Bombyx mori: one gene and its partner. The main gene of each other region encodes a partner of the protein of the gene in region 2 in a complex. Links are inferred from orthologs where the notes say so. Each region holds a gene or a part of one and is shown on either strand. Other genes may lie near its edges.

Region 1 (13,464 bases), on a different chromosome or scaffold from region 2:
CAAACAAATAATCATAAAATATTACAGATACTCAAATATATTTTTATAAAATTATATTTCATGTACATAATAATTAATTTCAGAAAATTTTACTGATGGCAAAAGAGTGTGATTCAGGGAAGCATTGTAAATCATGGAATAATATAGCAAACTTATTGTGGAATTCCTTGCAAAAAAAATTTAGCAAAATTGATGATCAATTATTATGTTCCATATGCTTTTATACAATTGCTTCTTACACTGATGATTGTGATAGGTATATCAATGGGATACAAAAAATTCTTGAATTTGAGATTGAAAATTTAAAACCTGGCAATTTGAAAATTTCACAATGCAACATTGCATTAATGTATGGTTTATTCCAATCAAATTTTCTTACTTCTCAGTGTGCAGGAGATATAATTAATTTTACTAGAGTTTTGCAATTAACCTTTGATTTACTAATTATAATGGGATATGAATACACGCAATTCACTTTTCTTGCCTTTAAAATAATGAAATCATTTAAAAAAGTATGTAATACTAAATGGCAAACAACAATTTTTAAGAGAGACAATCAAATTAAATTAATGAATGTTATCAATCATAACTGGGAAAACCCCATTACTGGAGTACGAGATCTACTTAAGAGTATTTTTAATACTCTATTAACTACTCTTGATGATGTATTGTACCTTTTAACACTAAAAGAAATTAATCAATTTTATTGGAATAAGGCCAAGTATTTAATGCTCTGTGAAGTAATTCATGTAGACTGCAAAAACATTTTAGTATTAATGTCTGAAAATGATTGGGCTCAGGGCCTTTTTAGCAGCCTCAATATTCCCAGCTTGGTGTCTGCTGGAGCTGATATGTATTTTGCAATTTTGAAAAGAATAAAATGTGTCGCCGAATGGTGCAACATTTTTCTAAACTCCACCATTAGCCTTTTTCAAGAAGGAACAGAGAAATCTATTCAAAACTTCAGTAACTATTGGTGTCTAACAACTTTAAAAAGATTTCCATCTTTACTGGGAGTATTCATAGAAAAGATAATGAAAAACAACTTTAAACAAGAACCATATGCTTTGATGTGTATCATAAAACAAGGTAATAAACTTGGAATTTTTGAAAAAGATTGGAATTTGTACAGCGGCTCAAATAATATCATGAATACGGTAGAGATGGCTTTGGAACACAAAATTGCTCCGCTGCGTATAGACGCTTTCGATATTGTTTGTGTTTCACATAGTAAATCACTGCCCATACAAAGGGAATACACACATGTTCTGGAGTACTTAAAGAACAATATGAACTCAGACTGCACTGTACTGAGATTAAATATGATGCGAAGTTTAAAATCATTTTTAAACCAACTACACGTTTCCTATTTAAACTATATGAAAACCTACAAAAATTGTGATGTAATAGATCTCATTTGCTTTTGTAAAAGCTTGCAAGAAATAGTATTTGAATCTTTAGAGTTGAATGGCAATTATCAAAGGAAAATAACAGCAGTTAAACTGACTTATTTGATTATGGAGTGCTTCAATGAAGTTCCTAGAAAGAAGAAAAAACAGATAAGACAGACTAACACATCTCTACTGCATTATCTAAAAACAGAGAATCAATGGTTTTTGGGTGGAGAAAAAATGACTGAGATATTAATTAAGCTTTTGAAGGATCCTTCAGATGATGTAAGAGAAAATGTAGTTCAATTATTACTGAAATACTACTTAAATGAAATACAAAATGCGAATTTCCTAAACAATTTGGCGACAGAAGCTCTTTCTTGCATTAGAAGTAAATTCTTCTTTGTAAGTAATTGTGGTCAAAGTATGTTGAAATTACTCAGTAATTTATTATTAATACCCAGAAACATTGAAACAAAGTATCAAAGCATTGAAGAAATTTTCAACTATGCTTATAATGAGTTACTATCTGAATACAAAAAGGATATAATGACTTCAATTGAAAACGAGACACAATTATATTCATTCATAAATATTTTGATAGTAGTGCTAGAAGTTTGTATTGACAACTCATTTAACATACGATTATCAACTGATACAATTCATGAGTTAATTCGTGTTTTGCAATATACTACCAATCAATTCACTTGGGAGCAAGATAATTGTACTAGTTCAGATTTTGCAAAAATGAGCGAAGTGGTTGAGGGAATGATAGCTCAATCTGAAAATTCAGCTTATAATGAAAACGATGAAGTAAAAATTTCAGGCATACATCAAATTGTTTTGAATTGCCTTTGGTTAAACGTTAAGGTAAGTTTTTAATTAAATAAGGTTATTATTGTTATTATACATTTCGTTACAGGAGCAGTTTACTACTCAAACCATAGTCTGTATGAACGAAAATTTGGTGAGAGACCTATATCCCAGGCCTAGTAGGGTAATTGAAAACAAGTTTGTATATTAGCTGTGAAACATAACATATTAGAACTGTGAAGAAGATTTATCCAGGATCAATACTTTTTTGCCGCTTTTTCAATGAGTAGCCCTAGATACTCCTTAAAGGAACATTGATTCACGGAGACTCCTTCGAGATTGACACGGTTCGAGCGGTATCATTGATTTAACGAGCAACTGTAGCTCCCACTCAAGTGGGATTAGGTGGGCTGCAGCACACTCATCTAGGTACCTACCTACTTTAGTTAGCAACAAAAAACCATGAACATGCGTATACTATAATATAAACCCCCTTTACATAATTTGTACATATTTGTAGTGGGACATTATAAATCTATATTGATGTGATATTGGTTTAGACTATCTCTAATTTTACCGCAGAGTAACTTTGCGGTCTGTGTGTTTAGTGCGAGTTTTTTAACGTTATCGATAGCGTAAAAGTTAGCTCATATTTGTGTATGGAATGGGATCGTTTGCCTATGTTTGCCGCTAGGGGCGCTGTTCCAACTGCATACAAAATTGGGCTAACTTTTACGCTATCGAGAACGTTAAAGAACTCGCACCAAGCAAACTGAAGCTTGCCTTACATTGAAATCAAAATCCTCACATATCATGTTGAGCGATGTCATTTTCGCTGTCGAGAATTGCGCTTCAGTAAGCACAACTCCAACCTTTTAATAAAACACTAAACGTTTAACACCCACTTTACCTAAAAATCTAGAACATTGCCAAGTCTTGCGACCACTCGCATGAGATGTGTCAACACCGAACAATTTGAATAACAATCAAAATATTAAATAGAAGTACATATATTGCAGGCATCGTGTGATTTAGCTTCACTCTTGGTGCAATTTAATAAGGATGACTTTGAAACATGTAGAAAATGTTTAGAACTCATTACTCACGTTCTAGAGAGCTCACGACATAAAGGGGCAATCGAAGCTGCAGGTGCAGCATTAGGTAGGTATCATGATATATAGCATGATATATCTTTTAATTTATTAAAAAATTAAGGTTTTTTTTTTTTTTTTCAGGAAAAGTTATACAATGTTTGACATCTTTACCTGAGGAGTCGAATATTTTAAATTCAATGAATAGCTTCCTTGAATCTAAATTAAACGAGTTGATATCTAAAGTCTATAATATGGCATCCATAACACGAAGAGGAGCAGGTCTTCCTATAATGGTTCACAGAATTGTTTCAAGTGACATGAATAAGGGAAAGGTAATTTGAATTTGTTCACGAATTATGGTAGAATATTATTTTACCAAACAAATCTCATATGCTATTAATTCTTTCTAGCCGCTATTTCACTATTTTTTAAAGAACATATTGGAGCTGTGTAACTCCGTACTCGATGTACCCAAACTAGAAGACAATGCTTCCGTTTTAGAAAACGAAATGGATTTACCTAAAGCTATCTACATCCACTTCTTAACAAAAGTAGTAACTGACAGCAGTTTGGCTTGTGACGTAATGTACTACTCATCAGAGCTCTCCGAACTGGCGTTTTTAAACCTAACCAGCGAACATTGGCAAATAAGGTATTTTTTTTAGATGAATAATACCTCAAAGGATCTTACACATTGATAATATGTTCGGGTATTAATCGGAAAGTAGATGAGATTACCATTTACTCTTTTTACTTCCTCAAATGATACCTCAACTTATTTAACTAGGTACCAAAATCTACTGCTCTAAATTAAATATAAAGCGTAGGCCGTACGGTTGTAACAGTCATTGTTCGCACTTCGACGGCGTACTCGACGAATTGAGAACAATGACTGTTAAAGATACTATACTGTTTTGAAGTTTTTTTTAATTGGCTTTGTAGGTAGACGAGCATACGGTCCACCTAATGGTAAGTGCTTATCGTCGCTCATGGACTTTAGCAAAGCCAGAGGCACAGCCAAGTCGCTGCCTCGTGCCTCGATTGAAGATGGTCGTTATTCCGATGTTCAACTAGTTCAACCTAAAAAGATTAAGATAGGCTACAGCACTCTTGTTTCGGTGTCTGGGCCCTGGCAAACTATACTAGATTCATTTCGATAAATGAAACTAATTGTTTTATTTCTATAATAGGAACGCAGCTTTACAACTTTATGGTGCATTGATTCCACGACAAATAGGACAAAAAAAGGCCCTTGGCACTGACGATAATACAATTGCGACGGTAGCTTGGGACGAATTGCGAACTCATTCTCCAAGACTGTGGAAGATGATCACGACCCGATTACGTATAGAGAGCCAATCTATTCAAATAGTGTCTCATTCGAATCTAGTACCCATTTTAAATTTATTGGCCAGTTGCGCAAAGAGATATAATCTTTCTTTTGATTGCGAATCACAGGTTGACGAATTGCTGACAAGTTTGATACTACTATTAGGTAGTCCAATATATATAGTCAGAAGGTTATCAGCTAAATGCATTTCAAATAATTTTAAATTTGAAGAAATTGGCTTACTGTCATATGGAAAATTTAATTCTGAAAATTTTATTCATGGTACGCTTATGTTGTTGAAACATTATACAGAGGAATCTCTTAACATGGATACATTTGATAAGACGAAAAGTTATATTGAAAATATTTTAACAAATAAAGTACATTCATACTTATGTAAACAATACTTTGAAGATATATTTTGTAACAAACCTCTGGCTTTAAATGATATAGAAGATACCTTTTTCGTTTTAGAAAACAAAATGTATGAACCAGGAGTATTTCTTTGGGCAGATGCGCGTTTACAAAAGTATCTTCGGACGTGTCCGTGGTTTGAAATTCCAAATTTATTAAAAATGTTTTTCAATCATGAGGGTTATGATAGATGTCTCAAGTATTTGCTGTTGAAAATGAAAAGAGATATGATTATTTCCGAACCTATTCTCTTAGAAATTACAAATACTTTACTGGAGTTTAACAAAAAATATGAAAGCAGTTACATTTGGAAAATTATATTTGAAGTGTCTCTAAGGACTGATTTAACTAAAAGTTTTGAGATTATTTCCTTCTTAAACAATTCAGTGGACTTGGTGTTTTCATATAAACTTAGGTACATTGTTCCATTAGCAGCAAAAGTACTAGAATGTTTAGAAGAAAATGTTCAGTTGCATTTTTCTAAAATTATATGGCAATTGTCTGATCCTAAGATGGATGTAAACATGCGGCACATCGCTGCATTAGCTAATAATAAAGTTGCAGAAGTATTTAAGAAATTACCTAAAATTGTGAAGATTAACTCTCTGAAATCAGCCATTATTTTATTACAAGATGAAGATGTGGATGTCAGAAATTTGAGTGTCATTTTTTACAAAAATATAAGTCAAGAATCTGCCGAAAAACAATGTTATATCTGCCTTAAAAGAATTATGCAAAAAGAGTTTCTAGAAAGTTTATTTTGTGAACCAAATGAAATTGAAATGCTTTTTAATGACTTGTCTGAAGTACTGCAAAATCTCAATAACAAACAAAAGGATGAGTTTAACCCATTTGCTAATGAACTTAAAAATATATACTTAGAAGTAGATGTTTTGCAGCAACTTTTGGAAAGTTTGAAGAACTCTGATTAACCTAAATAAAGTATATGAGATAAAGAAAAAATGTTATTTGCACTCAATTATAATAACATTTATTTAATTAGATATTCATCATAATAGTATGTTTGAGATGGTGTTGTATCATCAATTTGTATTGACACAATGTGTCTTCCAGGAACCATGACTAGACCTAATACTCTGGGTTCTTCAGTTTCTCCCTCATTATTTTTCAAGTACTCTGAGCAAGCACCTAAAATACAATTTATATGTAACAAAATTAGGTATTTCACCAATCATAAAAATTGATTGGTACAACTTGAGCCTATACATTTATTAGCTACAGACAAAAGGATAATATGTTGATAATCAGCTAATTTCACTACTGCTTTCAATGTTTGTCTTATACCATTACCTATAAGGATAATTATTTATTATTTAGGTTCTGGCATTTTTGTGCTCATAACACACGAACACTAGCTTGGGGCTTTAAATGTATAATATTTGTTTGTGTGATTTTTGTCAACCATACTATATATGAGTCGACTATTATCAAAGCCGGCAATGTGACTTTTGGATAATTATTGGTAAATCAGAAAAACGAATTATTGACTTTGTATTCCATTGGCAGTCACAAAACTCTTCTGAACGACATCTTAGATAAATAACAGGTTAAGTATTAACCTTTATTTAATGCAGGTTTTGAACCGTATTCTTTGAAGGAGACGATTATATTCAAATCAATCTGTATTGAAATATCAATAAAATTTTTTTGTCCAAATGCACAGATTGCTACCTTTGATAATAGACGACTCATATAAGCACATGATATACTATTGGTAAACCTACACACTTGTGATATAATATGTGAATTCAATAATTTTTACAAGATTGTATACTCAACCTACAAGAGCTCTATAAAAGTATTTAATCCATACCTAAAATTACATTTGCATCTCTATCTGTACACAGGAACACTCCTATCAGAACTCTGCCATCGGTCATTTCAATTCTAAATTTCATATTTAACCATTTTCTAAGTTTTGCCTTTCCTTCTTCCTCCACCACCTGAAGTATACAATTATTAAAAGTAGTAGGTACTATCTAATCCATTATGTCTATGTACAGGTTTGAAATAACAAAAAATATTTAAAAGGAATTATTTTTATATCTCTTGTTCATCCTTAATTATATTTCATGGGAAATAAGAGATCAAGCATTACTTTGATACCTAAATCTAGCGTTACTCAGTCAATTACATTTAATTATGAACTATCTAAATATCTAGAATTTATGATTATGTCAATGTGTAAACATCAATAATTTAAATGATTTTTCCTGGAAGGCCAAATAGGAATATAACTTGTATTAATGTTAAAAAAGCCTGAATCAAAAGTCATGTACGTAAAATTAATTAATGAAGGGAGGCGAAATTTAGCAAATATATAATTGGCTTGTCTACATACAATATTATTCTTTTAAAAGAAGTCTTATTCACTTTCGATGCTAACCTAAATATTATGTATATTTTATTTGTAGACGTGAGTTTATTTTTATCATACCTGAGGTGCTTCCGAAGTCGTTTTATTGCCTTCATTACTCATTTCCTTAGCTTGTTCAAATCTTTATCCCTGAACAATAAACGAGTTTCTTGCTAAAGTCTGGAAGTATTTTTATACGGCATTATTTTGTAGCCAGGTACATGGTTACACCATTGAAGTAGGAAACCTAGGTTACACACAAAGCATTTTTATCTGTCATGTAAAACTTAATTTGACCAAATCAAAATCAAATATTTTTTTTGAACCATAGACCTTAGGTTTCAAGGTTTCTTATTTCAGTGGTTTGAACTCTCAAATGTAATTCTCTAAGTTAGGGGATTTTATGACCTGGTAACTAAGATCTTTAAGTCAAGTCTTATTTTAATTTTAATGAAAACTTTTTAAATGAAAAATGATATTATGAAATGAAGTTGATTAATATGAAACATGGCATGAAATGAAATGAAAACGAAATGAAATGAAAATGATTAATTTGAGACATTAATTAAATGGGATGAAATGAGATGAGATGATATGGGATGAAATAACTTCTTGTTCTTCATAACAGCCCACAGACGTCCACTGCTGGACATAGGCCTCCCCCAAGCCTCGCCACAAAGACCGGTCCTGCGCTGCCTGCCAGCGGATCCCCGCGAACCTCAATACGTCGTCGGTCCATCTTGTTGGAGGCCTACCCACGCTATGTCTTCCGGTACGCGGTCGCCACTCAAGAACTTTCTGGCCCCAACGGCCATCCGTTCTATGAGCAATGTGTCCTGCCCACTGCCACTTCAATGTCGCAATCCTTTGGGCTAATCGGTTACCATGGTTTTCTTGCGAATCTCCTCATTTCTGATTTGATCTCGCAGGGAAACTCCGAGCATAGCCCTCTCTATTGCTCTTTGGGTGACTTTGATTCTTCTCATAAGGCCCATTGTGAGCGTCTACGTCTCAGTGCCATATGTCATCACTGGTAACGCACACTGGTCAAAGACTTTCGTCTTGAGACACTGTGGTATTTGTGATGAGAAGATTTTACGTAGCTTCCCGAACGCTTTCCATGCGAGCTGGATTCGACGGTTGACCTCTTTTTCGAAGTTGGACTTACTTAGCTGGACAGTGTGTCCCAGATAAACTCGTCAACAACTTCGAGCGTTTAATTTTCCCTCATTTGTGCAGTTTCATTATCATCTCATTTCATTTCATTTCATTTCGTTTTCATTTCATTTCATTTCATGCCATGTTTCATATTAATCAAATTCATTTCATTTCATAATATCATTATTCATATAAAAAAGTTTTCGTTAAAATTAAAATAAGACTTGTCCTAAACTTGGTCTTAGTTACCAGGTCATAAAAACCCGTCAATAAATTATGCTTTTATTGTTATTTGTCATGACAGCTCTTCAAGGATTTTTTGGCGGGAACGCGAGGAGTGAAGTTGTGTGATTTGTTTTATTTTTTCTATTTAGTGTTTCTTCAGGTTTAAATGTGTAATAACGGTGGTTTATTAACAGTTAAATACATTTGAAAGTGCACAAATGTGGGAAAATGAAACAAAGCCGCTGGACCTAACTTCTCGGGATCCTTCAAAAAGTCCACTGAAAAAATCTCAGTAAACGACCACTATTTTACTGAGATTATATTTCATCCCATATCATCTCATCTCATTTCATTTAATTTCATCCCAGTTGATTAATGTCTCAAATTAATCATCTTCATTTCATTTCACTTCATATTATCATCTTCCATAAAAATATCCCATATTATATCATCTTTCTTTTCTTTTTTTTGTATTGCCCTTATAGGCAGACGAGCATACGGCTGATACGGCCTACCTGATGGTGAGTGGTTACCGTCGCCCATGGACTTCAGCAATGCCAGGGGCAAAGCCAAGCCGCTGCCTACCGAAAATCTCATCTTATTTAATTTCATGCCATGTTTCATATTAATCAACTTCATTTCATTTCATAACATCATATTTCATAAAATAAAATAAAAAAATATACAAAAAATTTGGCTGTATGGTATGATGCCTTTGCCTTTCCATTTGGAAAAATAAAAGTACTACTGACAGCTCTTCAACTTCTTAGTAAAGATAGTTTTATTGTTATTGCATAAATTCCGAAAAGTACATACATACTGTATGTTATGATTTAATTATTATGTCTCAGAGTACAGGCGTAGATTTGTTTATGAAGCAATTTAAATATTTTAAATCTAATAAACCACAACCATCTCTCAATAGTGTCATATCTGTGGATATTACAACTTCAGAGGTAGGTAAATTACCAAATCCCTTTTAACAAATTAACTAAAAGGGAACGGCGTTTAGTCATTACAACACTATTCTGTACACACCACTCTACACGCCTCTATACAAAAGTATTTGTTTCCACTGTATAATGACCCTAGAGCTAACCTCTAACCTTTGCTGGAGGCCTAAGAGGCTATTCCAGTTACGTCCGGACGAGTAGCTGAGCTTACGAGCTCAACCTGAGAAGATTTGCTAATACTAGCCCTAAAAAGAGCAGTGCTTCGCAGATTCTACCACTGGATTGGAAATGCGACCCACTGAGAAGATCAGGCCAAGAAACTCAGTGGGCTGTGTCTGTGCGTTAATTTACTGGCCGAGCTCTTCGTCGCAAGCGATGGATTCGACAAGAATGATGACCAGTACCTGGGGTACCAAAAAGGACCTTTAGTAGATCAGGAGGATCTGCAATGACGTATTTTGGGCAAAGTTGACTGTATACCATTTGGTCCGCAGGATATCGGGAATGTAGTTACCGGACATCTATGCCCACAAAGCCTTTGAAGGCAAAATGAAGCTACCCATTATTGCAGTTGCTTTTAGACATCTAGGACACATATTTTACGAGTGAAACAAGATCATCCCAATGTATATTGTATGTATAAGTACACGTATAGCCAAAAAATAAATAAATTCATCCACTTTTGAGAAAGATGTGAAATGTTGAATGTTGAATTTTACCCCTAATTTTGCTCACCAGTTTAAATTATATTTTCGACACATGTTCAATTTAATATTATTGATTGTAGTATTTAGTGGCCAATGATAACATTAGCATAATTTAAACTTTGGCATTTATTTTTCAGGTGAAACTTTTAGAATGCAATACAAATTATAAATGTGAAGACAATCTTACACAGTGCTTAGGTTTGATAAACAAAAACAAATGGAAAACTTACAGTTTTGTTCAGCACCCTGGTTTAATGTTAATAAGGAATCCATTCACTGGATCTGGTCAAAGATATTGGATCAAAAGATGCTTGGAAAGATATCCAAAGAAACCGAATAAAATAAATATTGATATAGAAATTGATAATTTAGATGACTGGTGGAGAGAATGTCACAAAAGTATGGAATGTGATAAAAAATTGTTAAAAAAACTTAGGTGGACAACATTGGGTTATCATCACAATTGGAACACAAAAGTAAAATGTTATTATTATTATTTAATAAAATTCAGTTTTGTTTTAAAGAAATATGTGATGAGATTACACTTAACGAAAAAAATAATAATTTATTTATTTATTAAAAATTATGATCAGACAATAATATTTGTTTGCCCTGTTTGTAGCAAGTCTGCAAATTTAAAACATTATTTGAGCTTTAAAAAAATTAGAATAAACTTATTTAGGTTAGCAGGTAAATTCATGACCTCTAGGTTTGTCCAGTAATTGAAATTCATCCAAAGGTACTCTGTGATGGGTATATGATTATCATGGAACCTGCAATTAATTTATTGAGATGCATTACAAGTGTAATGGCCCCACATGACCCTTAGGGTATCTGATATCTGTGGCACCATTATCTATTATACTATATTGCCCACAATTACACTAAGTTAATACAGCATGTGCCTTTAATAAAAGTCACTAATAGTTCTAGACTCTTAGAAATTTTTTATAAGCTTAGTAAGCAGATGAGCTTTCAGTTTACATGGTGAAAAGTGGCCACTGCCACTGATGGATATTAGTAATGTTAGGAGCCACACTGCTGCTTATCTTATAATACTAATGCTACATGGTTGTAAGGGAGATAAATATGCACTATACCAGAAGCAAGTGTTCCCAGCTAAACCTAGTGAACTCTGCTTCAGTAGTGTCAGTAGGGGGTGGTTTGATGTTAAGAAGATAGGAAAGTAATGTACCAACATTTAATCCAGTGTACTTTGTCGTTCAGATCGCTAATATGCACAGCGTGCTTGTATATTTACATACCCTTTTGTACTTGATTGATTGCATACAGATCATTTAATCAAATGTGTTTATAATATAGTGTTACATTTTTATATTATAATATACTTAATTAGTTTAATATAGTGCTTTGAAATAGGAGAACAACTCTAGATTAATAAACTGTTTGATATATTGCAAAATATTTATTTTCATTTTCAGGCATATAGTGAAGAGAACAAGACTCCTTTTCCAGAAGATTTGTCAGAACTGTCAAGTGTCGTGGCTCAGTATCTTGGATTTGCGAAATTCAGAGCTGAGGCGGCTATTGTTAATTACTACCACAAGAATTCTACACTGTCCGCTCACACTGATCACTCGGAGGTCAACTTAGATGCACCATTATTTTCATTTAGGTACTTTCTCTAGGCTTGTCGGTAGTGGTTTATTTATTTGTTTTTAATTTATTGACGTATTTCTGTGAGATTATATTAATAATTATGGCTCAAAATTACAAATTCAAAATCAAGATACACAAAACAAAGAACAAGAGCCCGTGTTTAAAATAAAAGCAAGAAAAATCCCATTTTAAGTGTACGTGAGCGCTATGATGTCTATGTAGACCGACTGTCTGAATGTTGTTCGGAACTTGTATATATGCTTATTTTGAAAATGTCGTAAGCGAGATTCAGGCATCTGTCAAATATCTTGCGTTGTATGATGGCTACCCGCCACAGTTACTCGAATTGTGTTCAATTCCAGTAAATTCTTTAAAATTATTGTTTTCAGTTTTGGCCAATCTGCTATATTTTTAATAGGGGGCCGGGAGAAGTCCATCGAACCATCAGCGATACTACTAAAAAGTGGAGACATAGTTGTAATGTCCAAAGAAGCAAGGTTGTGTTATCATGCTGTGCCTAAAATATTACCGGAATACCATCAACCATGGAATTCAGATCTTTCGGAGCTTGATTTTAATAAAATGCCATCTTTTATGTACATTTCGAATCCGAAAGAAACAATTGAAGCAATGAATGAAAATATAGAAAACGACAAGTGGAGTGAATTCGAAAATTACATCAAGGAATCCAGAATTAACATTAATGTTAGACAAGTATTGAATGAAAAACAGATTAGTTTGGCCGACGAATTTTTTTCTTAGAACAAAACAGTTTTTTATTCCGTCGTCCATTCTTATTCTAAAAATATTATTTTAAAGTCCCTATGTGTTTTGCAAGGCCATTCTTGCTTCCGAGGTTCCTTTGTTATGACTGCAAAATGAAAAAACAAATTATTTTTGACCATTTCTACAGCGTTATAATAAAAATATCATATTTTTGCTAATACTTTTTTAATCGAACCTGTACAATGCGTACGCGTTATCATGTTACTGGGTCCTTTTACGTTGGTTATAGCAGTACGCCTCCGCCGTATAATATTTAATAGGATTTACAGAGGCCGATAAGTGACATGCAATTCAGAAGCAAATGACAGCTAGGTCATCAACTGGTATACGTTCACTAAGATAGTACACGCGCTAAGACTACTGGCGCATAAGTCTGCCCCTCTCGACCGTAGGCAAATCTAAAACCGTTCTTCTGTGGTGGGCTATTAGTGTGCTTAGTGCGAGTTTTTTAACGTTCTCGATAGCGTAAAAGTTAGCCCAATTTAGTATGCAGTTGGAACAACGCCCCTAGCGGCAAACGTAGGCAAACGATCACAGTCCATACAATGAACTAATTTTTACGCTGTCGAAAACGTTAAAAAACTCGCACTAAGCAC
Region 2 (13,111 bases):
TTTTAACGATAATTGCGCGGACGGAGGAGCATGAAATTTTCCACACTTATAGAGAATATAGAGAAGAAGTACACAATGCTAATATTTTTTTAAATTAATGCTTAAAAGATACATTAAATCAATAAAGAAAACATTACACACACTACATACCATGTATTTGACGCACACACGCATGCATACTATTTATTGTCAAACTTTTGTTCTTGATGTCTGTTGTCAAATTGAGAATAGAATATGGTTTGTCTTTGTTAATATTTTTTATAGTGTAGTCTTGGCGAAACTTGTGATTGTAGAAGTTTAAAATACAATCATAACAGTGTCCAAACTTACAATTCCAATTAATTATAGTCGAATTTCGACTGCTGCGGGACCTCTAGTATTATTTAAAACAGTCGCTTCCGACATATGAAAACACTAGCGACCCGCCCTCGCTTCGCTTCGGAAACATTAAAACACACATGAAACCAAAAAAATAAAATAAAATAAAAATTAAAAAAAAGTAGCCTATGTTCATCAGGGACAATGTCGGCTTCTAATGGAAAAAGAATTTTTCAAATCAGTCCAGTAGTTTCGGAGCCTATTCGAAACAAACAAACAAACAAATCTTTCCTCTTTATAATATTAGTATAGATGGAGTATTTCGGGAAAAAATATGGCAAATACATAGCGGGGTAATATGACTATTCTAACAGGAATCTCAACATCGACCAATCATATTATTATATACAGTTAATAAAAAATGAGTTAAAATATATAATGTTATATATGAGTCGTCTATTATCAAAGGTGGCAATCTGTGCATTTGTACAAAAAAATGTTATTGATATGTCAATACAGATTGATTTGAATATAATCGTCTCCTTCAAAGAATACGGTTCAAAACCTGCATTAAATAAAGGTTAATACTTAACCTGTTATTTATCTAAGACGTCGTTCAGAAGAGTTTTGTGACTGCCAATGGAATACAAAGTCAATAATTCGTTTTTCTGATTTACCAATAATTGTCCAAAAGTCACATTGCCGGCTTTGATAATAGTCGACTCATATATTATACCATATCCAGCTTGAAGACGAACTGTTGATAGGTTTTATTCATTGTAAAATTATCTTTATTTCAGGATTTATGTTCGACTCTATGTATTTTTATTTTTTCATACATATTATTACAAAGATAAGTCCAAATCATAGGCTACCACCACTTACTATGACAAAAGGTTAACATACATAAATAGCACTATAAAGTAGCAATCAGCTCAAATTATTTTACTAAATCTCTAGATCGAAGAATGTGAGGAGGAAGAAATTCTAGTGGATTCAGAAGACGAAGAAGAAAACACCGTTTCTGGAATAAACCGGTCTCTCACACCAGTTCCCATACAAGACTTCGCCGCTAACGTCGTTTATACAGAAGGTTGGCTTAAGCAATACGCTGGCACTTTACTGAAATTCAATTCGACCATAGAATAACTAAATCTAGAAGCAACAAGCTGTCAAAAAAGTATAGTTTCTTTTTCTAACCCCGCATCTAATAAATCGTTGTGGATGTGTATGTATAAATATTTTCATTTTCCATAAGAATTAGAGATTTATAGTAATATTTTCATTTTCCATAAGAATTAGAGAGGTAGGTATTTTTTTATTGCTTATATGGGTGGACGAGCTCACAGCCCACCTGGTGTTAAGTGGTTACTTAAGCTCATAGACATCTACGACGTAAATGCGCCACCCACCTTGAGATATAAGTTCTAAGGTCTCGAGTATAATTAGTAGGTAGGTAGGTAGGTAGTAAATTGTCATTTAAGGACATAGGACTGCACCTGTTGCCAGCTAGTGACAGTAGTTTGTTAAGTCATTTTGTTTTTATGGCGTGTCTCACTGTTTGAGTGGAAAAATAACCTTGGTCATACAAGGCGATAACAGCAACACTAACGTTCACATGGAAACTGCTAGCTACTACCATAGTAAATACTTCCTTCCAATATATAGGTAGTGTAAAAAGTCTGCAAAACGCCAAGAAACCGAAACCATAGGTTTTTTCGGGACGGAGGGATTGCTTTTCGCTCCGAGGTTATTACAACTTCGCCAGAATAGGTGAGCAAGCACAATCTCACCCAGAAAAGTTGGTGTTTGAAAATGGACGAAGCCTATCAACTCAAAGGCACCTAATTTGCGAGTGCGTCGACTACTGGGCCGAAAATATCGACCCGCTGAGAAGAATCGGTGATAAGCTCAGCGGGCTGATGCTACGGGATAATTGTCACGCCCAACTCCTCGCCGAGAGCAGCGACCTGTGTAATGGCTGCTTCTAGTGTTAGAAATAGAAGCATCTATGTTTCAAGAGGTTTTAGAAGACTTATTAATTATTTAGGTACCGACTTATTCCTGTTACAAGGGCCCTTGAATTATTTTGATCTGATCTACTTTGTTTATTTTACAAATGTTTTGGTAGCTCTTCAAACTATCTATTTGCTTCAATTTGAGAATGCGTTATTATTATTTCAGGCCCTCAAGCTACTGATTTCTTGAGAGTGAAGACAACTGAAGGCGATTGCTACACTGATGTATCAGATGCAGACACCGAAGAAGAAGAAGAATGAGATCAAATCTGTTTATATTCACTAAAATTTATTTATTATTTCATATCATATTATACAATTACGTACTTATTATTTATTGCAATGTAATTGTAATCGTAGAAAATTTAGTAAAACTCACCAACATTTAATATCAAGATACAAGTTTTAAACTTATTTAAATAAAGATAAAAATTATATAATGAGTTTTGAAAATATGTTATTATCATACTAACTGCCAAACCGCAGCTTCGCACGCACGCACTAATTCTCTTGCTTAACTTTCATATAAAAGGTATCTCTTCCCCAGGGATCAAAATATTTCCATACCCAATTTCGTCAGAATCGGCCCAACGGTTTTGGCGTGACAGACATTAGTTTCATATAAATAAAATGAAAACCTATTAATTTTGTAACATCCTATTTCAATGAAACAAATATTATATGCTGTCCTGTATTCATATTATGATTTTCTGTTCCGAATTAACCTCTGTATACTAATGTATACAAACTAAATAAAAATACATTCAGTAGTTCCAGAGATATGAGCGAACAAAGACAGAAAACACAGACAGAAAATTATTCCCAAATCCCAAAAGAGCGGTTTATTTTCTATTCCTACTCCTTAGTTACCCTTTTTCTATTTTTAAGCGACTTCAAAAAGAAGTAACGCTGAACCTTGTTTTTGAGTAAAAATATTAAATATTTTTCTTTTTTATAATGAATGCACATAAGGAGATTAGAGGTAACGAAACTCTCTTTTATTGGTGACAATTTGAAAAAATGTCCAACTGCAAGTTAATTGCAACATAAAAAATCCACCAAAACAGCGCTATTAATAATAAGTCGTATGATATGAATATCGCAGATGTAAACGGAGTGTGTAGTGATGAATTTCAAAAATAACAGCCAAGAGAAGCTAAAATAGCCCCTCAAGGCTACCAGTGCTTAGGTTAAAAATATATTAACTTTTGGCGCTAAATTCGATATTACACCACTTGCTACGGGGGCGCCCTCAGCCTATTAATGGTTACTTTTCGACAGGCGCTTCTTAAGCACAAAGGTTACTCCTTAGTAATAGCCTCCGTAAATACACTACAGAACTTAGGATAATGTTGCCATAAATTAATTTTCTTATCTAGGGATGCCAAACTGCACAGACTACATAAAAATACACAGATCACGTAACTTTATTTATTTATTCATATATACAATAATATCAAACTAATTTGATAATAGGAAAGTGTCTATGTACAGAGAAATCAAACTCGGGCGATGTAGTTGTGTCGGCTTTGTGTCCTCCCGCTAATAGTTTTAAAACGACAAAATTTGTTTTGGCAACTTTGAGCAGATCTTGCACCTGAAAATAAATTTATTTATTTAATAATTACATTACTCTGTGGCCAGTTTACGCATATATATTTTTCAATGAACTACCCTCCATGTAGTTTCACGAGAGCTATTTCATATCGTTCTTCAAACTAGATTAAATAAGTCAATATAAAAATAGATAAATAGATGGATATGAGAAATTTCATTAAAATTCATTCAGTCACTTCTGTAATTTAGTAAGCTCTAAGAAACAACAAAAGATACAAATTTCCACATTTAATGTAGATTATATAATTTTACAGTACAGATTACTGCCACCCAATTGTTCGTTTGTTGATATATTAGGTGTTTTGGTATTGCTGGTCTAATTTACTTGAAACTTGATATTTATCATATACATATCAGGAAAGGTTTTCGTCATAGTACCACAAAAAGGTGGTGAGCTAATGCACTTTTAATAAAACAGTGTATTTCGTACATTCAACGATGGTCAGTTTAGTAGGATGTTATTATATTTAGATTATAATACCATAGTATATTTCAGATATCTTCCTAAAATCTCAAATTCGACTTTTGATTATTCAGACTTTCATTACTTTGCCTATATGTCACTTTACTGGTGGTAGGACCTTTGTGAGTCCGCACGGGTAGGTACCACCACGCCGCCTATTTCTGCCGTGAAGCAGTAATGCGTTTCGGTTTGAAGGGTGGGGCAGCCGTTGTAACTATACTGAGACCTTAGAACTTATATCTCAAGATGGGTGGCGCATTTACGTCGTAGATGTCTATGGGCTCCAGTAACCACTTAACACCAGGTGGGCTGTGAGTTCGTCCAACCATCCAAGCAATAAAAAAAAATAAAAAAAGTAGGAAGTTTCACGTAACATAGGATCTAGTAATTAGCTTTATTGTTGTTTTTTTTTTTTAAACGAATCCTACAGAACCATTTCGATTACTGTATTAATAAAAAAATCTTACCTCTTGATCGGGAACGGTTATAGTTTCCAATAAGGAACGAGCTTGTTGAAAATGTTTGTAGCCACCGAGATACAGAATCACAGGGTTCTCGTACCTGCAATGTAACAAAACATATTATATCGAGGTGTGTATACGCGACATTTATCTTTGTAATTTAGGGTGCGTCTATATTTCAATTAAGTTCCATTTAAATGGCTAATAAAGTTTTTTTGTTACGTTATCTTTTCCAACTTCTAAACTTTAAATGACTCTCTTGTAAAATAGGAAAAATGTCATTTAAACAAAACCATCTTTTACGCCTCGATATTTTTTTTTCCATCTGTACTGTACAATCGTGAACATTTGTTAAGTACGTATTCCATTAGAAAAATTGGTACCTGCCGGCGGGATTCGAACACCGTTGCATCGCTACATACGAATGCACCGAACGTCTTATCCTTTAGGCCACGACGACTTCCATGTTCTAACATGATGGAGCGTAAATAATGCTAATAAAAAATTTTAAAAATATGATTTTTTTTTTAAATCTGTATCGATTTTTTTCCCGTCCCATCATGATAGCTGTCATTACTAACTTTAACTCCTAACACCCAGCATACACAGGTCGACGACCCGACGATCGCGCGAGCGTTACTCGAAAATCGACTCAATCGACTTGTGTCTTAAAGCTGAAAACTCACTGCAGCGGCTGCGTCATCTCGCAGAACTCGTGGTAGTGGACTTGGGGCGGACTCAGGCCGGAGAGCGGCGCGAACCGGTGCTTGTACCGGACCGCTTCGTTGTCGAACTCGGACTGCGGCTGACGGATCTTCCCTTGCAGCTTGAAAGCGACTAACGCCTGCGGAAACAATCAAATTTATAGGGGGGTGACACTGAAAATGGTTAGAAAATCAAAAACTGACCAAACTAGAAAGTTATTCTCAATTTGATAGACAGACACAGTAACAGACTTTAACAATAAACTAAAGAGCATTTATGCGTGTGTGTGTGTTTATGTCAAATATATGGTAGTGTGTGTAATGTTTTTTTTTATTGATTTAATGTATTATTAATGTATAACTTAAAAAATATTAGCATTCTGCATTCCTTCTCTATGTTATCTATAAGTGTGGGAAATACCATATTTCTCCATTTGCGCAATTTTCGTAAAAAGGGGTACAAAGTTTTTGTAAGTTACGTAAGGTAAGTAATTACGATTACCTTAGTCGAAATGAATAGTGTTATATTTGTATATCGACGCTTGAAAAGCAAACGTGACTAAGCGACAATGCGTGAACTTTACAGTGGACTAATTTAAAGTTGAAATGCCTGAAAAAAATCTATTTTAACGAATCTAGCTGTAGGATTGAAATGAATTTAATAGACCTAGAAATATATATTTTTTTGCGCATCGAATATGGTTATTGCCTGATTTATGTACAAAGCAGTTATTGTCGCTTAGTCACGTTATACCGAACTATATTGGAAACGGCTCCAACGATTTTCATAAAATTTAGTATACAGGGGATTTTGGGGGCCATAAATCGATCTAGCTACGATTTATTTTCAGAAAATATTGTTTTATTCGTGTTTTCAATAATCAACTCTTCCCGACAACTATTGTCATCATCATCATCTAGTTACCTTATAATATCCCCCGCACATGTTCTGCATGACTTGACACATGAGTCCCTCCCTCGCGTAAGGGCGCGTGCGTTTCTTCTGTTTCCGTACACCGGCACGTTTGCCTTCTATTCTCTTGGTGGTCTCGTTGGCCAGGCCTTCAGCTCGTCCCAGGGCCGACACCAGCCAGCCGTACAGAAACTCGTACAGATACCTGCGAACACCATTTATTACAGCCGTCATTTCTTTGTATGTACTAGTGGTCCCCAGTGATCGAAATTCGACCTTCGATATTAATTTAAATTATAGATTACAAATCTATTCTCAATCTGACCACAGATGGGTGAACGGGCTCACAGCCCACCTGGTGTTAAGTGGTTACTGGAGCCCATCGACATCTACAACGTAAATGCGCCACCCACCTTTCGATATAAGTTCTAAGGTCTCAGGTACAGTTACGGCTGCCCCGACCTTCAAGCCGAAACGCATTACTGCTTCACGGCAGAAACAGACAGGGTGGTGGTACCTACCCGCGCGGACTCACAAGAGGTCCTACCACCAGTCAAATTGAGACTTCGACCTCATATCACGAGGTGGACTGACGCAATTCGTGTCCGTAACTCACCAGAAAATATAATGATATTCATGTACAGAGTACAGTTCCAGTTCTAAGCCGGAGAGTAGATACGCGATCATTACACGCAGCACGTGGTACAGAACCCAAGTGCTGAAGCACGGACAATCTCCAGTACCCATGCTGCCACTCGTTATCGCGTCCACGCTCTCCGCCTGAAAATACAATTACGGAAAACTTATATCACGAAGTATGTACATCAAATTAATTAGCCGAGAATGTGCTTTTAGTTAAACGAAAACGGCGCAGTGGATATCGTTCCAAAAGCCGTCTCGAGCAATCTCTTACTGGTGGTAGGACCTCTTGTGAGTCCGCACGGGTAGGTACCACCGCCCCGCCTATTTCTGCCGTGGAGCAGTAATGCGTTTCGGTTTGAAGGGTGGGGCAGCCGTTGTAACTATACTGAGACCTTAGAATTTATATCTCAAAGTGGATGGCGCATTTACGTTGTAGATGTCTATGGGCTCCAGTAACCACTTAACACCAGGTGGGCTGTGAGCTCGTCCACCCATCAAAGCAATAAAAAAGAATCTGTATTCAAACGTTAGCATGACTTATCCTTTTAAAATTCGATTCCTTTTAAAAAGTTTCGTGAACCCGCAACGGACGAGTACAAAACTTAGGATTGGTATACGCATTTTCCGAATTATACATAGTCACTGGAGGACATTCACTGTGCTTGTGCGTCTTTACCCAACAGCTACTTTTTTGTAGTACATTGCGTCTTTTTTTATTAGTATTTACTAACTGTCATTTGACTTTCTTTTCGACCGCATTCTTGAACATTAAAAACGAAGACTTTAAAAGGGGCATTTTCTTCAATACAGAAGAGGATTCAAAAATTAACTTATTTATGTTATGCCATAACTATTTTATCGTTTTATTAAAAGTTTTTAAAGTAAAACTTTTATTACATCGTCTCAAACTTTTTCGTCTGTGTGTTGCATGTCGCGTGACGGTCGGCCGCGGAGTAGGGACAAAGTGAAAGGCGCTTGTCAGAGCAGCCAAGGCCAATATGGCGGCGCCTATAGTTCGCAGCAGCTGACCGTGTAGTGTATTTGTTAGTGCCCTTACAGATAATACAACCATACCTCTTCTTGCAAAGTAGCGAATTCATCGAGCAAGAGCACCAGCTTATCCCGCTGCCTGGCGCGGTTGTGTCCGCACACTTGCAGCAACACGGCGAACGGACGAACGCATCTCGTCAAAAAAGTCTCGACAACTTCTCGCGCCTTCAATACAAACATATCAGTTTTAGCAGAACATGTCAACTGATTGACGGACCGTACCACGACTCAATATTAGGGTTGTACGATTTTTTCAAAGTGAAAACTTATTTGGCATAAATGCGATTTGAAATATTATTTAACTATACAGTGAATCATTTCTCAAGGTGACCCGTAACATTCTTGTTGGAGTACCTATGGAGTCAAACAGTCAATTAACAATTGGTTGACTCCCTTATGCCAATCAAAGCGTGAAAACACATCAATAAATTTAACAAGAAAGCAGCGAAGATTTTTTTTTTATAAATTGCATCCTTAAAGCGGTGCAAAAGATTATCTACAAATATTTTATTTTCTTTGATACTATTGTGTATGGTCTGACTAACCTGCGGAGTGCCTGGCATCATTGGTTTATTAATTAAAACCGGTGGATTAACGAAATTCTTGATCGAATCTCTGAGGATCTCAATGAAGATGTGGTGGGGCCGAGGAACTCCCGAGGGAACGGTTTGCGCAGTGGCGGCCGTCGTCGCCGGAGACGGACTCAGATACAGTAGCTGTAGTGCAGATCTCGATAAAATACAAGCGCGCTGACGGCTGAATTCCATGAAGAAATCCTGAAATATAGATAAAATATTATATTGAGCAGTTTTTAATAATAATAATATAGTATAATAATATATTCAATATAATATATAGTAAAAAAACAACATAATAATATAGTATTGTGTCATAGTTACTAAATAGTGGTTATAGTAGAACATATTACTTGTACATAAACCCTTGTATTACTCTGGAAGGAACATTCAATAAAACATGGTAGATTGTTCTCAAAAAAATTACCATATTTTTATCTATACACAAATCTTACTATATAATTTTGTAGACTTTTTGGCGGGAACGCGATTAGTGAAATTGTGTGATTTGTTTTATTTTGTCTGTTTAGTGTTTCTTCAGGTTTAAATGTGTAATAGCGGTAGTTTATTAGTGCACAAATGTGGGAAAATGAAACAAAGCTGCTGAACGTAACTTCTCGGGATCCTCCAAAAAGTCCACTGAAAAAATGTCAGTAACTGAGCATCATTTTACTGAGATTATATTTCATTCCATATCATCTCATCTCATTTAATTTAATTTCATCCCAGTTGATTAATGTCTCAAATTAATCATCTTCATTTCACTTCATTTCACTCCATATTATCATTTTTCATTTCATAAAAATAAGAATATAAATTAAAATAAGACCATGACCTTAAAGGTCTTAGTTACCAGGTCATAAAATCCCTTAAAAAAAAAACAATAGGAGTGGGTAATATCGGTTTTGCCGCGTATCGAATCGTATCTATGTATCGAGGATCAATATCGGATATTGAATCTATATATTTTCTGAATCTATATATTGATGGATGCTAGTAGATTTTCTCGATTCATGATATTTGAGATTTGAAACGATACGCTGATATAATATCGTAGTAGATATAGATTTAAGTCAACGTTATACGGTTGGTTTTCTGATATCAATTTATAATATGATCTTAAAGTAATAAAAAGAACATGAAAATAAAAATATCAAAAAAACTTTCCTTCATGCTTTTACCAGGCTTAGGACTGGCTACATTATTTTCAGTTTTTAGTATTTTGTGTCTTAATTTAAAATTACAAAATATACCAAAAGAGTGTAGATTTCAAAAGTTTAATACAAACACAAGAAATAAACTCAATTATTTGGATTCAACTAAAAATAGAAAAATGTGTACTTTAAAAATCAAACACAAAAAACTTTTAAGTATTTATAAACACTTGTCCAAAAATTCTAGTTCAAGGTCAAAGCGCGTGAAATTAAATTCAACGATGCAAATAGGCTATACTGCATTCAAGTTAGGGTCGAAAGTTGAAACTTCTTTCCTTAATTGTATCCTGCTGATACGCTAAGAATAATCTACAGACATATGGACTTAAATATAAGGTTTACAATTGTATGGATAATGCCTGTTTCTGTTTCATTCATCACATGATATCCCTATCGTGCGCTCACTCACTCTGGCCGATTCGATACGAACCAAACGAATATTGCTGATATTAACGAATCGGTACGATATGCCGATGCGCATCACATCGAGCAATATCGTGTATCGGCTGATATCGAAATATAGATTTCGATTCACGAATCGGTACGATATGGCGATGCGCATCACATCGAGCAATATCGTGTATCGGCTGATATCGATATATAGATTTCGTGCGGGGCGATATCGGATTCAACGATATTGCTGCGATATATAGATATTGAATCTATATACGATTTATATCACCCACTCCTAAAAAACAATAATATAATTTTGTATTTACAACTAAACATTACCACTGCCGTGTGGAAGTTAGTGCAGGAGGTGATCTTCCAAGCGTGACGGAGTCTCGAAACGAGCTCGTCGAAATACTGAAGAGCTTCTATTCTTGGTTTGATGCGGGTGTACCGCGGAAACGTCGGAGGGAGGAGACGCTGGTTTATCATTGGCTCAAATCCCATTGGGTTCGGCGAATCGGCTAAAAAATAATATTAAAAGTTCACATATAACACTCTTAACGCTGCGCCATGGTTGCTGTATGGCTGCTGCTCCTATCTTCGGTATTTCCCCGGAGCTGTGTTATGATACATTCTTTTTCGAGCAAAGTTCAAGAAGTACTGGTGTTACTGTTGCTAGGACCTCCTGTGAGTTCGCGCGGGTAGGTACCACCACCCCGCCTATTTCTGCCGTGAAGCAGTAATGCGTTTCGGTTTGAAAGGTGGAGCAGCCGTTGTAACTATACTGAGACCTTAGAACTTATATCTCAAGGTGGGTGGCGCATTTACGTCGTAGATGTCTATGGGCTCCAGTAAACACTTTACACCAGGTGGGCTGTGAGCTCGACCACCTATCAAAGCAATAAAAAAAAAAGTATGGATGGTAGTCCCGAGGTATGTATCAGACATCAGGTTCGTATCTTGCTCTATCTTTGCATTGCTGATGTTCACCGGCAGCGGTGATCAAATTCCATCTGATGAGTCTCATCTAGCACATCTCACAATCAAAATGAAAGTCGAAGAATAACTGCATTTTATTTTTAATGTCTTTTGGAAATTATAATTTTTCATAAACATTGATGATCGTTTTAATTGAATTCTCTTGCCGTATAACTACTTTATGAATTATTTTACTATTATTTTAGACATGGTCAACTAGTTGTTTACTGTGATGGCTTCAACTTCCAAATCAATAGAGAATAACTAACGTCCCTATAAAAAATAGACAAAGCTATGAGCTAAATGGCTTTGAAGCGATACATTGCACTCAACGAAGGACATCAAGTCACTTCATTTTTTTTAAGCAGATTTTCTTTATAAACATAAAACTAACAATGAAAGTTTTAATTCAAAATGTAATGTAAAATGTAAATTTTTTTCTAATGAAATACGTACTCAACAAATGTTCACGATTGACTTCCGCGGTGAAGGAATAACATCGTGTAATAAAAAACAAACCCGCAAAATTATAATTTGCGTAATTACTGGTGGTAGGACCTTACGTTAGTCCGCACGGGTAGGTACCACCACCCCGCCTATTTCTGCCGTGAAGCAGTAATGCGTTTCGGTTTGAAGGGCGGGGCAGCCGTTGTAACTATACTGAGACCTTAGAACTTATATCTCAAGGTAGGTGGCGCATTTGCGTTCTAGATGTCTATGGGCTTCAGTAACCACTTAACACCAGGTGGGCTGTGAGCACGTCCACCCACCTAAGCAATAAAAAAAAGAAAAAAAAAACTAATTAATTTCCTAATCGAATAACTAAACTTACAGTTCTCCACAGGCTGCGTTCCTTTGCCTGAAGTTTTAATGATAACTTTCATCATTTCCGAACAACCGTTCAACAGGGCGACGCAGTCGGCTCCCGACTTCGAATCACGCTTTGTTATCAATAGAAGAGCTTGGTAGAACATTCTAGTGAATCTTATTCTGGCCGCTAGTGCTGTCCAAAGGATATTTGCCTAATAAAATCATGAAAAAATAGCATAAATTTATTACAAAATTTTATACAATTTGCCTTTCTTATTCATACTCAATAACTCACACATGATTTTCAGAATTTGTATTGTATCACTATTCCATTTTTTTTTATTTCCATCACATTTATATTAACAATTATTTTTCCAAAATAAAAATATTTTACGTTCTGTTGCTTCAACCACCTGTCGGTGTGCTTACCTCAGCTTCAGTATTCTTAGTTTTTTTGTTTAGTTCTTCTTCCTGCTCTCTGAGTAATGAAATACATTTGGACTCAGTAACTTCCAGACTGGCGTCGTAAGTATGACCTGACTGTGGATTTGAGCCTAAATAATACCCATATCCCATTGGCTGAAAATCTTCTTCTTCAAATACTTGAGCTCTGAAATAGAAAAAAGATGTGTGAAATTAAAAGAATTAAAAAATCTATACACATTTTATATAACATTTATATAAATTTTCCATAGGTTTTAGGGCACAATTCATGTAGAAAGTAAAGGTCAGACTGAAAAATTGACTTCTACTTTAGCCTTTTTTTTATGTAGCTATGTATGGGGCAAACACACACAACTGAGCCTGGTCTTCAGCTCTCCTTGTACATTTCTTGCTAGCCAGTCTACCCAAATCATCTGTGATCGCCAACAAATCTGATCAGCATAGAGATCATAGGCATTTTCTCCATGAAAGAGTCCATAGATATCAAGACTAGAATGTGGCCCATCATGTG

What was found.
Region 1: N-alpha-acetyltransferase 35, NatC auxiliary subunit (region 2) and N-alpha-acetyltransferase 38, NatC auxiliary subunit share a complex: the UniProt entries of both Drosophila melanogaster proteins name them as parts of the N-terminal acetyltransferase C (NatC) complex. The link is inferred for Bombyx mori from reciprocal best matches to the Drosophila melanogaster genes Naa35 and Sbat.

Annotation. Positions count from the first base shown.
Region 1 is NC_085124.1:7,600,839-7,614,302, reverse strand, and holds N-alpha-acetyltransferase 38, NatC auxiliary subunit, read right to left. Parts: upstream 8,127-13,464; 5' UTR 7,543-8,126; coding exon 7,501-7,542; intron 7,007-7,500; coding exon 6,877-7,006; intron 6,192-6,876; coding exon 6,034-6,191; 3' UTR 6,008-6,033; downstream 1-6,007. Other genes in the region: uncharacterized protein LOC101745429, read left to right, coding at 84-2,261, 3,224-3,365, 3,440-3,630, 3,709-3,950, 4,489-5,974; nucleic acid dioxygenase ALKBH1, read left to right, coding at 9,645-9,758, 10,600-10,938, 11,905-12,098, 12,472-12,844. UniProt on the Drosophila melanogaster protein: Auxiliary component of the N-terminal acetyltransferase C (NatC) complex which catalyzes acetylation of N-terminal methionine residues. May have an accessory function in the survival motor neuron (SMN) complex.
Region 2 is NC_085111.1:6,431,836-6,444,946, reverse strand, and holds the end of N-alpha-acetyltransferase 35, NatC auxiliary subunit, read right to left. Parts: intron 12,767-13,111; coding exon 12,586-12,766; intron 12,369-12,585; coding exon 12,179-12,368; intron 10,890-12,178; coding exon 10,708-10,889; intron 8,963-10,707; coding exon 8,732-8,962; intron 8,352-8,731; coding exon 8,211-8,351; intron 7,275-8,210; coding exon 7,111-7,274; intron 6,700-7,110; coding exon 6,507-6,699; intron 5,722-6,506; coding exon 5,564-5,721; intron 4,978-5,563; coding exon 4,884-4,977; intron 3,934-4,883; coding exon 3,793-3,933; 3' UTR 3,754-3,792; downstream 1-3,753. Other genes in the region: uncharacterized protein LOC105842451, read left to right, coding at 1,279-1,411, 2,503-2,597. UniProt on the Drosophila melanogaster protein: Auxillary component of the N-terminal acetyltransferase C (NatC) complex which catalyzes acetylation of N-terminal methionine residues.